Bombyx mori: one gene and its partners. The protein of the gene in region 1 interacts with the protein of each later gene in a pairwise test. Links are inferred from orthologs where the notes say so. Each region holds a gene or a part of one and is shown in the gene's direction. Other genes may lie near its edges.

What was found.
Region 2: the proteins of ras small monomeric GTPase Rab6 (region 1) and GRIP and coiled-coil domain-containing protein 1 interact in a two-hybrid assay, tested with the Drosophila melanogaster proteins (2 studies listed by BioGRID). The link is inferred for Bombyx mori from reciprocal best matches to the Drosophila melanogaster genes Rab6 and GCC88.
Region 3: the proteins of ras small monomeric GTPase Rab6 (region 1) and golgin subfamily A member 1 interact in a two-hybrid assay, tested with the Drosophila melanogaster proteins (2 studies listed by BioGRID). The link is inferred for Bombyx mori from reciprocal best matches to the Drosophila melanogaster genes Rab6 and Golgin97.

What each region holds. Positions count from the first base shown.
Region 1 is NC_085111.1:16,071,146-16,074,020, forward strand, and holds part of ras small monomeric GTPase Rab6, read left to right. Parts: intron 1-883; coding exon 884-1,089; intron 1,090-2,427; coding exon 2,428-2,494; intron 2,495-2,875. UniProt on the Drosophila melanogaster protein: Protein transport. Regulator of membrane traffic from the Golgi apparatus towards the endoplasmic reticulum (ER). Mediates membrane trafficking during egg chamber growth and organization, possibly upstream of exocyst component Sec5.
Region 2 is NC_085118.1:16,474,750-16,478,030, reverse strand, and holds the end of GRIP and coiled-coil domain-containing protein 1, read left to right. Parts: intron 1-656; coding exon 657-734; intron 735-1,500; coding exon 1,501-1,672; 3' UTR 1,673-2,739; downstream 2,740-3,281.
Region 3 is NC_085110.1:6,838,315-6,841,987, reverse strand, and holds the start of golgin subfamily A member 1, read left to right. Parts: upstream 1-823; 5' UTR 824-1,059; intron 1,060-1,130; 5' UTR 1,131-1,151; coding exon 1,152-1,268; intron 1,269-1,891; coding exon 1,892-1,942; intron 1,943-2,332; coding exon 2,333-2,504; intron 2,505-2,696; coding exon 2,697-2,854; intron 2,855-3,600; coding exon 3,601-3,673.

The sequences.
Region 1 (2,875 bases):
AATATTACTTGACAAAGTCGACATTAACTTATTGAGTAGCTTTCGTTCAGCCAAATATGTAGAAAGCTACAGAGTCATAGAAGGGGAAAGCTTACAAAAACCTATTACCAATGTACGTATTATTATTATAGCTGTATGATCATATTATGTACACTAGATGATGACCGAGCTTTGCTCGGTTTTTTTTGATAACGCCATCTTGTTGTGTCTTTGAAGCGGCTAGTTGCCCTTAATTAAGAAAAAATAGTATTATTATGTGCCAATAGATGTCGGGAAGAGTTGATTATTGAAAACACGAATAAAACAACATTTTCTTTCTTATACCTTTAAACGAGCAATTCTTGTATATTAATATATATAATCTGAATCTCGGAAACGGCTCCAACGATTTTCATAAAATTTAGTATACAGGGGATTTCGGGGGCGATAAATCGATCTAGCTACGATTTATTTTCAGAAAATGTTGTTTTATTCGTTTTTTTAATAATCAACTATTCCCGACATCTATTGGCGAATAATAATACTATACTAACCGCTTTAAAGACAACAAGATGGCGTTATCAAAAAAAAAACCGAACAAAGCTCGGTCATCATCTAGTATATTAATATACAAGAATTGCTCGTTTAAAGGTATAAGATAAAGAAACAGAAATAATAAATGAAAATATAAAGAAGAAGAAGGAAGAAAAAATATTTTATTTCAATAATTCATTTTACAATTTATCGTTTAAGTAGTCCGTGACCTTAAAAACTTACCGACCTCCGAAATTAAGAGAGTGAGCTCAAATAGTGAAAGAAGATTGTGCATTACCGAAAACCCAAGAGCTCCATTATCCACAGACGTATCACTGACTAAGCTATAATATTGGTTATCAATTTTCAGACGCGAACTCATTCCACCAGACTTCGAAATGGATCGACGACGTTCGCACGGAGCGTGGTTCTGACGTCATCATCATGTTGGTCGGCAACAAGACCGATCTCTCGGACAAGAGGCAGGTCTCGACCGAGGAAGGCGACAAGAAGGCCAAGGAACTGAACGTGATGTTCATAGAGACAAGCGCCAAAGCTGGTTACAATGTTAAACAGGTATTATATTAACGCTTTTACATTAGGGTACAATAGTTGCGTGAAACTGGCAATATCTCTGGTAACATTGCGTGCAGTAAGGCGCATGTCCTTACGGATCCATCAGATCCAATAACCGTTGCATTGGACGCCTGTAGCTTTAGCATTAGGAGCAGGAACTCCGATAACCGTACTCGGCAAAGAGTACGACGTGCAACCTAACCTGAAAATCAGCCTGGGTAGCAATTTTCAACTCAAATTGGTTAGCAAATTTCACCCCTCCTGGCTGAGCCCTTGCTCGCCCATCTGTCCTGGTGAAACTATAAAGGCCTCCGGGCCAGTATTCATCTTTTAATCATAAAAAAAAGTTCAGTAAGGTAATATGTCGACGGATTGGTTCTTAGATTTTTGAATCACCGGATCACAACTTGCTACAAAAAGTTTACTATATGAGACTCAAATATGCCAGAGATAAAGGTCCGAGCTGGGCAACTATAACGAAATACTGTAGCTTTGTTTGATTTGGAGCACCGTTCTATGTAATCAACAAGGCTTGCGTGATCCGGTCTAAATAAAAACTTAAAGCAAATTAAAAAAAAAATTAAAATCGACTTATATATCAGTTGTAGAATCAATTAGAAATTATAATCTATACTAATATTATAAAGCTGAAGAGTTTGTTTGTTTCAACGCGCTAATCTTAGGAACTACTGGTCCGATATTAAAAATTCTTTCAGTGTTAGATAACCTATTTATTGAGGAAGGCTATAGGCTATATAAAATCACGGTAAGACCAATACAAGTGGAGCACCAATAAAGAATGTTTCAAAATAGGGGCTTAAATAGCTCCATAACATTCTATAATTCAAAAATATTTTCACTTTCTACGTAAAGGAAGTGGGAGTAAAATTTAGCGTTATGCCAAAATAACTATTCCACGCGGACGGAGTCGCGGGCAAAAACTAGTTTATGTATATAAGGAATAGTACGTGCGCATTTCCCGATCCACTAACGGTCCTTTTAAGTATCTCAAGCACCGGTCATCGCTCTCGTCGAACCCGTCGCTTGCGACAAAGGGCTCGACGAGTAAATTAACCCACAGACACAGCCCACTGAGTTTCCGCCGGAACTTCTGAGTGGGTCGCGTTTCCGATCCGGTAGTAGATTCTGCGAAGCACGGCTCTTGCTAGGCTTGAGCCCGGTGAGCTCACTTATAGGGTGAAGCTAAAATAGCCTCTCATGGCTATCAGCATAGGTAGGAGAAAAAAAAAAAAACATCTCGCCGTCTCTCTCGCACGTCCCGCTTCAATACCCTCAAAAAGAGTATGGTTAATTTTAAAACTTTTTTAACTTTTTCAGTTATTCCGAAGAGTAGCTGCTGCCCTGCCTGGCATGGACTCTGCCGAAAACAAACCTCCCGAAGACAGTATCCTTTTTAAATATAACATTTACAAGAATTCAGAATTAACAACAGGGTTACAATTACTTTCTGTACTCATCAACAAAATTAATGTTGACAACATAAGAACATCGGTTTTCCCCAAACGAAAAAAAAACAAATACCCCAACATTTCAATGTTTTGTTATACATTTGCTGTTGCACACATCGCATGCTAAAATATCATACACACATAACAAGTAATAAAATCACGCTCCATATAAAATAAACATTTAAAATACAACCCTAAATACGAGATACGAGAATCGCAAGGCTGTATGTGATATAAACATGAATTCAATTTTTCTATACAATAACTTTTAACAGATAATCATTTTTTTTTATGATAAAAAAAACTTTTTAAATATT
Region 2 (3,281 bases), on another chromosome or scaffold:
CGACATGAGAACCCTCTTGTCGTGGCCGCTGGAAACTACATACCCGACCCTGTAGATCGAATGGTAAACAGTCGACGTCGCCCAAAGCACGTCATTACGGATTCTCCCGATCCATTAACGGTGCTTTTAGGCACCACAAGCACCGGTCACCGTCCTCGTCGAACCCGTCACTTGCGGCGAAGGGCTCGACGAGCGAACTAACCCATAGACACAGCCCACTGAATTTCTCGCCGGATTTTCTCAGTGGGTCGCGTTTCCGATCCGGTGGTAGATTCTGCGAAGCATGGCTCTTGCTAGAGTCAGTGTTAGCAACACTCCGGTTTGAGCCCCGTGAGCCCACCTACACACGTTAGGGCGAAGCTGAAATAGCATCCCAAGCTTATCAGCATAGGTAGGAAAAAAAAAAACAGTTTTCGGTACTTGATGGCAGATGGCGTTACTCGTGCCGCCATAACAATAATAATATGCAGGTCAGGTGACAGGAACACCGATGCCAGAATAGGAAGGACGTGGTACATGAGGTCGATGTCTCAAGTTGCTTAGTGAATTAGCTTACATGTTAGACCTTGAAAGGGCACGTAATTCAGACGTAGGCATAATATTATAGTGCCATCGAGCTGGTGAGCAAAATAAAATAAAATAAATCTACTTTTCAGAGACTGCCAACGAGACGCGACCATAGAGAAAGAGCGCTTCAAAGAAGTCGTCAGAGCGCTGAAAGAGGAGATTGACAGGTAATATCAGATATTCTCCCTCGCATCAGCTCTGACACGTTTTTTTTTATTGCTTAGATGGGTGGACGAGCTCACAGCCCACCTGGTGTTAAATTGTTACCGGGGCCTGTAGAAATCTACATCGTAAATGGCGCTACCCACTTTGAGACATGAGTTCTAAGATCTCAGTTTTAACAGTACAACGGCTGCCCCACCCTTCAAATCGAAATGCATTACTGCTTCACGGCAGAAATAGACAGGCAACCTACCCGTGCAGACTCATAAGAGATCTTACCACCAGTAATTTCGCAACTTATAATTTTACAGGTTTCATTTTTATTACACGATGTTATTCCTTCACCATGGAAGTCAATTGTGAACATTTGTTAAGTACGCATTTCATAAGAAAAATTGGTACCCGCGTGAGATTCGAACACCGGTGCATCGTTACACACGAATGCACCGGACGTCTTATCCGTTAGGCCACGACGACGACTCTCGATTCGACTCTAGCTCTCGGAGTAATGGGCAGCAATGTACTGCGACATTATCAACGCTAACCGCAAATTGCATTACTGATTCAATGCTGTATCATACGAATAAAGCCGAATCTACACTAAGCGTCACTAAAGAAGAAATAAACATGAGTTCTTGTCGGCAAACGAGGTGGTTCCTCTGATGTTAAGCGTTTACCGAACCGCACGTGCTTGTGATGTGCTTGAGACGTGAGGTCGCCAGTAACACAAGGCATGTAACGATTTCGCTAACTGTTAAAATTAATTTTCAGATTAAGAAGAACGCAATCCCGTGAAGGTGCAAATTTAGAGTATTTGAAGAACGTTGTGCTCGCTTACTTGATGTCCACGGACTACGCCGGCAAGAGGCACATGCTAAACGCTATAGCCGCCGTGTTGCATTTCACTAACGCCGAACGTCACTCCGTGCTGTCTACTTTGTAAATTTGAGTGACCACTTAGGATCGGACGGGCCGTCACACTGAATACTTTAGAAGCGTCACTGTCGGTATTCGTTTTATCTTATTTTTTAAATCAACTTCGAGAAACTTCGACAAATTGTAATAGTCCTTTGGGAATAGCCACCGGCTTCGCGCGACCCACTACGTGAGCCATGTCGACGTCCTAGTCGTGTATAAGAGAGAGTCCACAATAATTCAAATTAGAATCATCATCAGACAGCACCTATATCTGCCGCGAAGCAGTAATGCGTATAGGTTTTATGGGTTTAATATATCACTGATCAATTAGAGTCTCAGACCTCATATCTTGATAGGGGGGCGGGCGGGCTTTCACTAAACACCTCATTAACCATGAGCTACCTTCGTTAAGCGTTCTGTAGAATCTAATAAATAATACAAACCCTAAAAAGTATTATATATCAGGTAAATACATTTTAATTAAACAACACTAATGCTATGTAATTTATATGTATATGTGTGTATACAAGAAACAACTAGAATTATGATACAAGTATAATTTAAGAGGATAACAAGTGATTCATAATTGGGTGGTGTGGTGTGCTACCGCAGCCCCACTCCGCCCCTGGGTGTCGCGAAGGGTCGCAGATTTCGCTTCCTATATACCAGGGTACTACGATCCCTATCCGCGTAATGCGACCCCCATCCGGGTAATGCGATCCCCAGCCGGGTAATGCGATCCCCAGCCGGGTAATGCGATCCCCAGCCGGGTAATGCGATCCCCAGCCGGGTAATGCGATCCCCAGCCGGGTAATGCGATCCCCACCCGGTAGTCTAGACTACACTATTGCCTTTATTTTAATTGAAAATAATTAGCAAGTAGTATTCATGGAAGATGCACACCGCGGGAGCGATCACCTTGTAGAATTGAGTGAGATTAATAAGTATTTCATATATCTTAAACATTATTTGATTAAAACATATAGTAGTGGATAGTGTTGGGGTTGAACTTGAGTACCGTATTCATAGTTAACATTCCATTAAAACGGCTGTATAATATAAATTAAAAATAAATAAAATATTTTTCATTACTGTGTTGTGTTTTATTGTTTTAATTTAAGAATAAAAGTCGGTTTTTGTTTGAGACTGAGTATCACTGACGCGTTGCCTCCCATTTCGTAATATGAACTTGCATAATTAATTAATACTAGTGATCGCCCGGCACTCGAAATTCTACCATAACTATTAATCTCTATATATATAAAAATGAATTGCTGTTCGTTAGTCTCGCTAAAACTCGAGAACGGCTGGATCGATTTGGCTAATTTTGGTCTTGAATTATTTGTGGAAGTCCAGAGAAGGTTTAAAAGGTAGATAAATATGAAAATACTCGGAATTAAATGAAAATAACAATTTTGTTTTTCCTTTGATGTGTCCCCCGTCGGACGGATTCCTTTTGTTTGTTTTAAGTTTATTTTATACAAAAGTTTAGGTCTTTTATTTATATATTAAGGCACTACGAAGTCTGCCGGGTCAGCTAATAGTTTAAAATATACGTTTGAAAATGATTTTGGTTCTATCTTCAAAGACTTTATTATTTCTATAATCACAAATTTTGCCAACGCTACACTATA
Region 3 (3,673 bases), on another chromosome or scaffold:
GGATTAGTACCCATCGTTTGACACCAGCAGGTACGTTATCTACTGCTACTAGTCGAAGTTAGATCTCGATTAATTAAATAAATAATACATTTAACATAAGCTCTGTTAAAAATTTATATCCTACAGGGTTCCAAAAATATGCCCTAACACAAGTAAATGCCGTTTAGCAATTGCATCAAATAATTCTACTGCTCATTTTCGGGTGAATTAATAGCCTGTTACAACACTTATGGAAAGAGGGTATTATGCTATTCTAGGTAAGCACCGTGCAGACATAAATATATGACAGTATATCTTTCTATTACTTATGAGAAGTTGGCAGTAATAAAGAATTTTATGTTTAGCGTATAAATGCTCAAATATTAAGTATATAATCTATGTAAAATGTGCTATTTGCTAACAGCAGACTTTTTGGCGGGAACGCGAGAAGTGAAGTTGTGTGATTTGTTCTATTTTGTCTATTTAGTGTTTCTTCGGGTTTAAATGTGTAATAATGGTGGTTTATTAATTGTTTAATATCTGTGAAAGTGCACAAATGTGGGAAAATGTAACAAAGCCGCTGGACGTAACTTCTCGGGATCCTCCAAAAAGTCCACTGAAAAGATCTTAGTAAATGACCACCATTTTACTAAGATTATATTTCATCCCATATCATCTCATTTCATTTAATTTCATCCCAGTTGATTAATCAATGTTCAATCAATGACATTAATGTCTCAAATTAATCATTTTCATTTCATTTCACTCCCTATTAGCATTTTTCATAAAAATAAGAATATAAATTAAAATAAGACATGACTTAAGGTCTTAGTTACCAGGTCGTAAATCACTTAAAAAAAACTCAGTCAACTGCCAATTGTCAACAAATGTCAATTTCATTGCAATGTTTTGTGAAAAAGCTACCTGGCTAACAAAAAATTTCATGAAAATTAGAATATAAATTTTATCTTATTCACAATTCGTTCTGAAGCTTAATATGTACCACGCTTCGAGATCGGACGTTAGCCAGATTGACGTGTCGTAATTTTATCAGTTAGGTAGTCAAAAATATAGTACTTGGTAAGTTATCGAACTTAACTACAGAAATTACCATTTTACCAGTAAGTTATTATCTTTTTGTTCGTTTACAGTTAGACATTTCGCAAGTTATAATGTTTGCGAGTTTAAAAAGTAAAATAAAAGAGGAAACAGGAAGTGACATCAGTAAATTGACCAGTAGTTGGAGAAGTGGTGGCTTTTTAGGAAGAATATCACTCAGAGATGATTCGGTAAGATGTAAAATGCACTATTGCTTAAAATGCATTAAGTTTTATATAATAATAATAAATAAAACGAAATGTGTGCCTGACATTTAATTAAGACATTTAAGTTTTATAGATTTTCATCTGCAGACCTGTTTCCCATACTCGAAGGTCGCTTTCACCTCTTCATTCAGGCATTACAAGCTAGTTGTAGTACAATATTTAAGTCACCTCACTGAGCTGAGTGAGCTCATCCTACTCAAATCTTAGCTGAGAATTAACTTAACACATATCTGAACTGTTGGTGATCACATTTGAGTAGCTGGTTTTCATACATTGCATTAGTATTTTTTAAATTTTAATGACACTAGTATAAGTGTATAATTAGTTTTATCAGATGATGGAGATCCATCATCAGCTGCCTCATTGATTGATGAAGGTGATTAGTGGGACTAAGTTCAACTCTAGTCTTTAAAATTGCATATTTTGTAGCCTTTTACAAAAAAGTCATCCTTGTGATGATGACAAAAATAAAACTAAATTTTTAAACATGTGTCTTGAATACACCGAAACTTAAACTCGTGTATTTAAATCATAATTTCTCATTTTTGACATAAAATCCCACTATTAACAACTTGTTTAATTTTTAGTCAGCAACCAGCCCCTCGAGCTCTGGTGGTCTTGGAGACTCACCGGCTGATGTAAGTTTAAAGTTTTAGTGTCTATAGTTACAATATATAAATAATAGAAAACATGTTTCAGGGCTCTATAAATATAAATCAGACATTTAAGACTATCATAAATTTAAAAAAAATCATGAATTACTTCTACAGCTGTATGCTACAACCATTTTCGATTAGGAAATGTTTCCCAAAAACCATACATCCTGAAAATATTTTTATTTTTTTCCAATCTTGCTACAATTTTTCATATTAAATGAAGTAAAAAAATTAAATTAAGTAAGTAGAAAATTTTTATTAAGTTAAATTTTATTTAAAAGCTATGTAGATGTTGACCACCTTAAAATATATATTGAATTCTCTGACAGTGTAAAAATAATATTGTTTAAATTATTAATTTTATGTATTCAGTCCATCTCTCCGCAAATGGAAACATACTTGTCGGAACGTACTGGGGGCCAGATAGACCAAGCAGCATTACAGCAACAGTATTCTGTACAGCTAGAAAATAAATTAAGAGAAAGGGATACTTATTGGGAACAAAAAATTGAAGAATTGAAGTTGTCTCTAGCAACAGTTCAAGGTAAGTAACCTTGTAATAAGCATTGTGTTATGATAAATTCTATTTTTTGTAGAGCAAGTTGTAGTTAGGAGATTATAAAAAAAAAACATTTATGGTGTATTGTTTTACAGCAATAGTTTCAAGCAAGTAATCATGAAAACAAAGTTTTTCGATTCATCATAATAGTTGCCAACTAAACATGTATTCCAATAGGTGAAGAAGCAGCAGCAGCTCAAGCTGTAGCTCGTGCGGCCCAAGCCGAGGCTGTAAGGGCTGCAAACGAACGCGACTTAGCTGAAAAACATGTGAGCGAACTGCGGACACAACTAGCAGCTGCTGAAAGAGCCCAAGACAGGCTCGATGAGCTGATGGTAAGTATTATTATCAGTATATTTTAGTAATAATATTGTTTACAGCTATAGGTTATTAAAAATTTTTATTATTACTTAATGTCACTACACCATATAAATCTGAATGTACAATATAACATTTAGATAAGGCAAGGGGGAGCTATCGGCCACCCATGCGGTTACAACATTATCCTTGCCATCATCAATTTGCGCGTTAGCTGTTTAATTTCTTTTGCTTGATAAAGAGACTTTAGAACGGCAGCTGATCAACTAAACTGAAATCCGTGCAGTAGCCTTTTTAATTGGTTAAATAATAATAGAACATTGAATAATGACGTCATTATTCACGAAATCTTCAAAATACACGATGGTAATTTAAATCTATTTATCTGCTTAAATTATAATAAGGGCATTGTTCATTATGAGGTGTTACCACCAGGCAGGTCCATCGATTCTGAACTCTACTGTGAACAACTGATGAGATTAAAGCAAGAAGTTGAGAGAAAGCGGCCGGAATTAATCAACAGAAGGGGTGTGGTTTTTCATGATGATAAGACTCCAGACTCTCGACCTCACACATTGTTAGCCACTCAGCAAAAATTAAAAGAGCTTGGCTGGGAGGTGTTAATGTATCCGCCGTATAGTCTTGACCTTGCACCTTCAGATTTCCACCATAATTAAATAAACTATATTAAAAAATGTTGTAAATTTTCTTAAAAAATGCGTTGAAACTTTTTCTTCAATCTTATATACGAATATCGGTATAGGAAGAGTTGGAGCAGTCCCGTCGCGAGTGGGCCCGCGAACGAGCGGACCTACTCGCAGTGCGGGGCGAGAGCG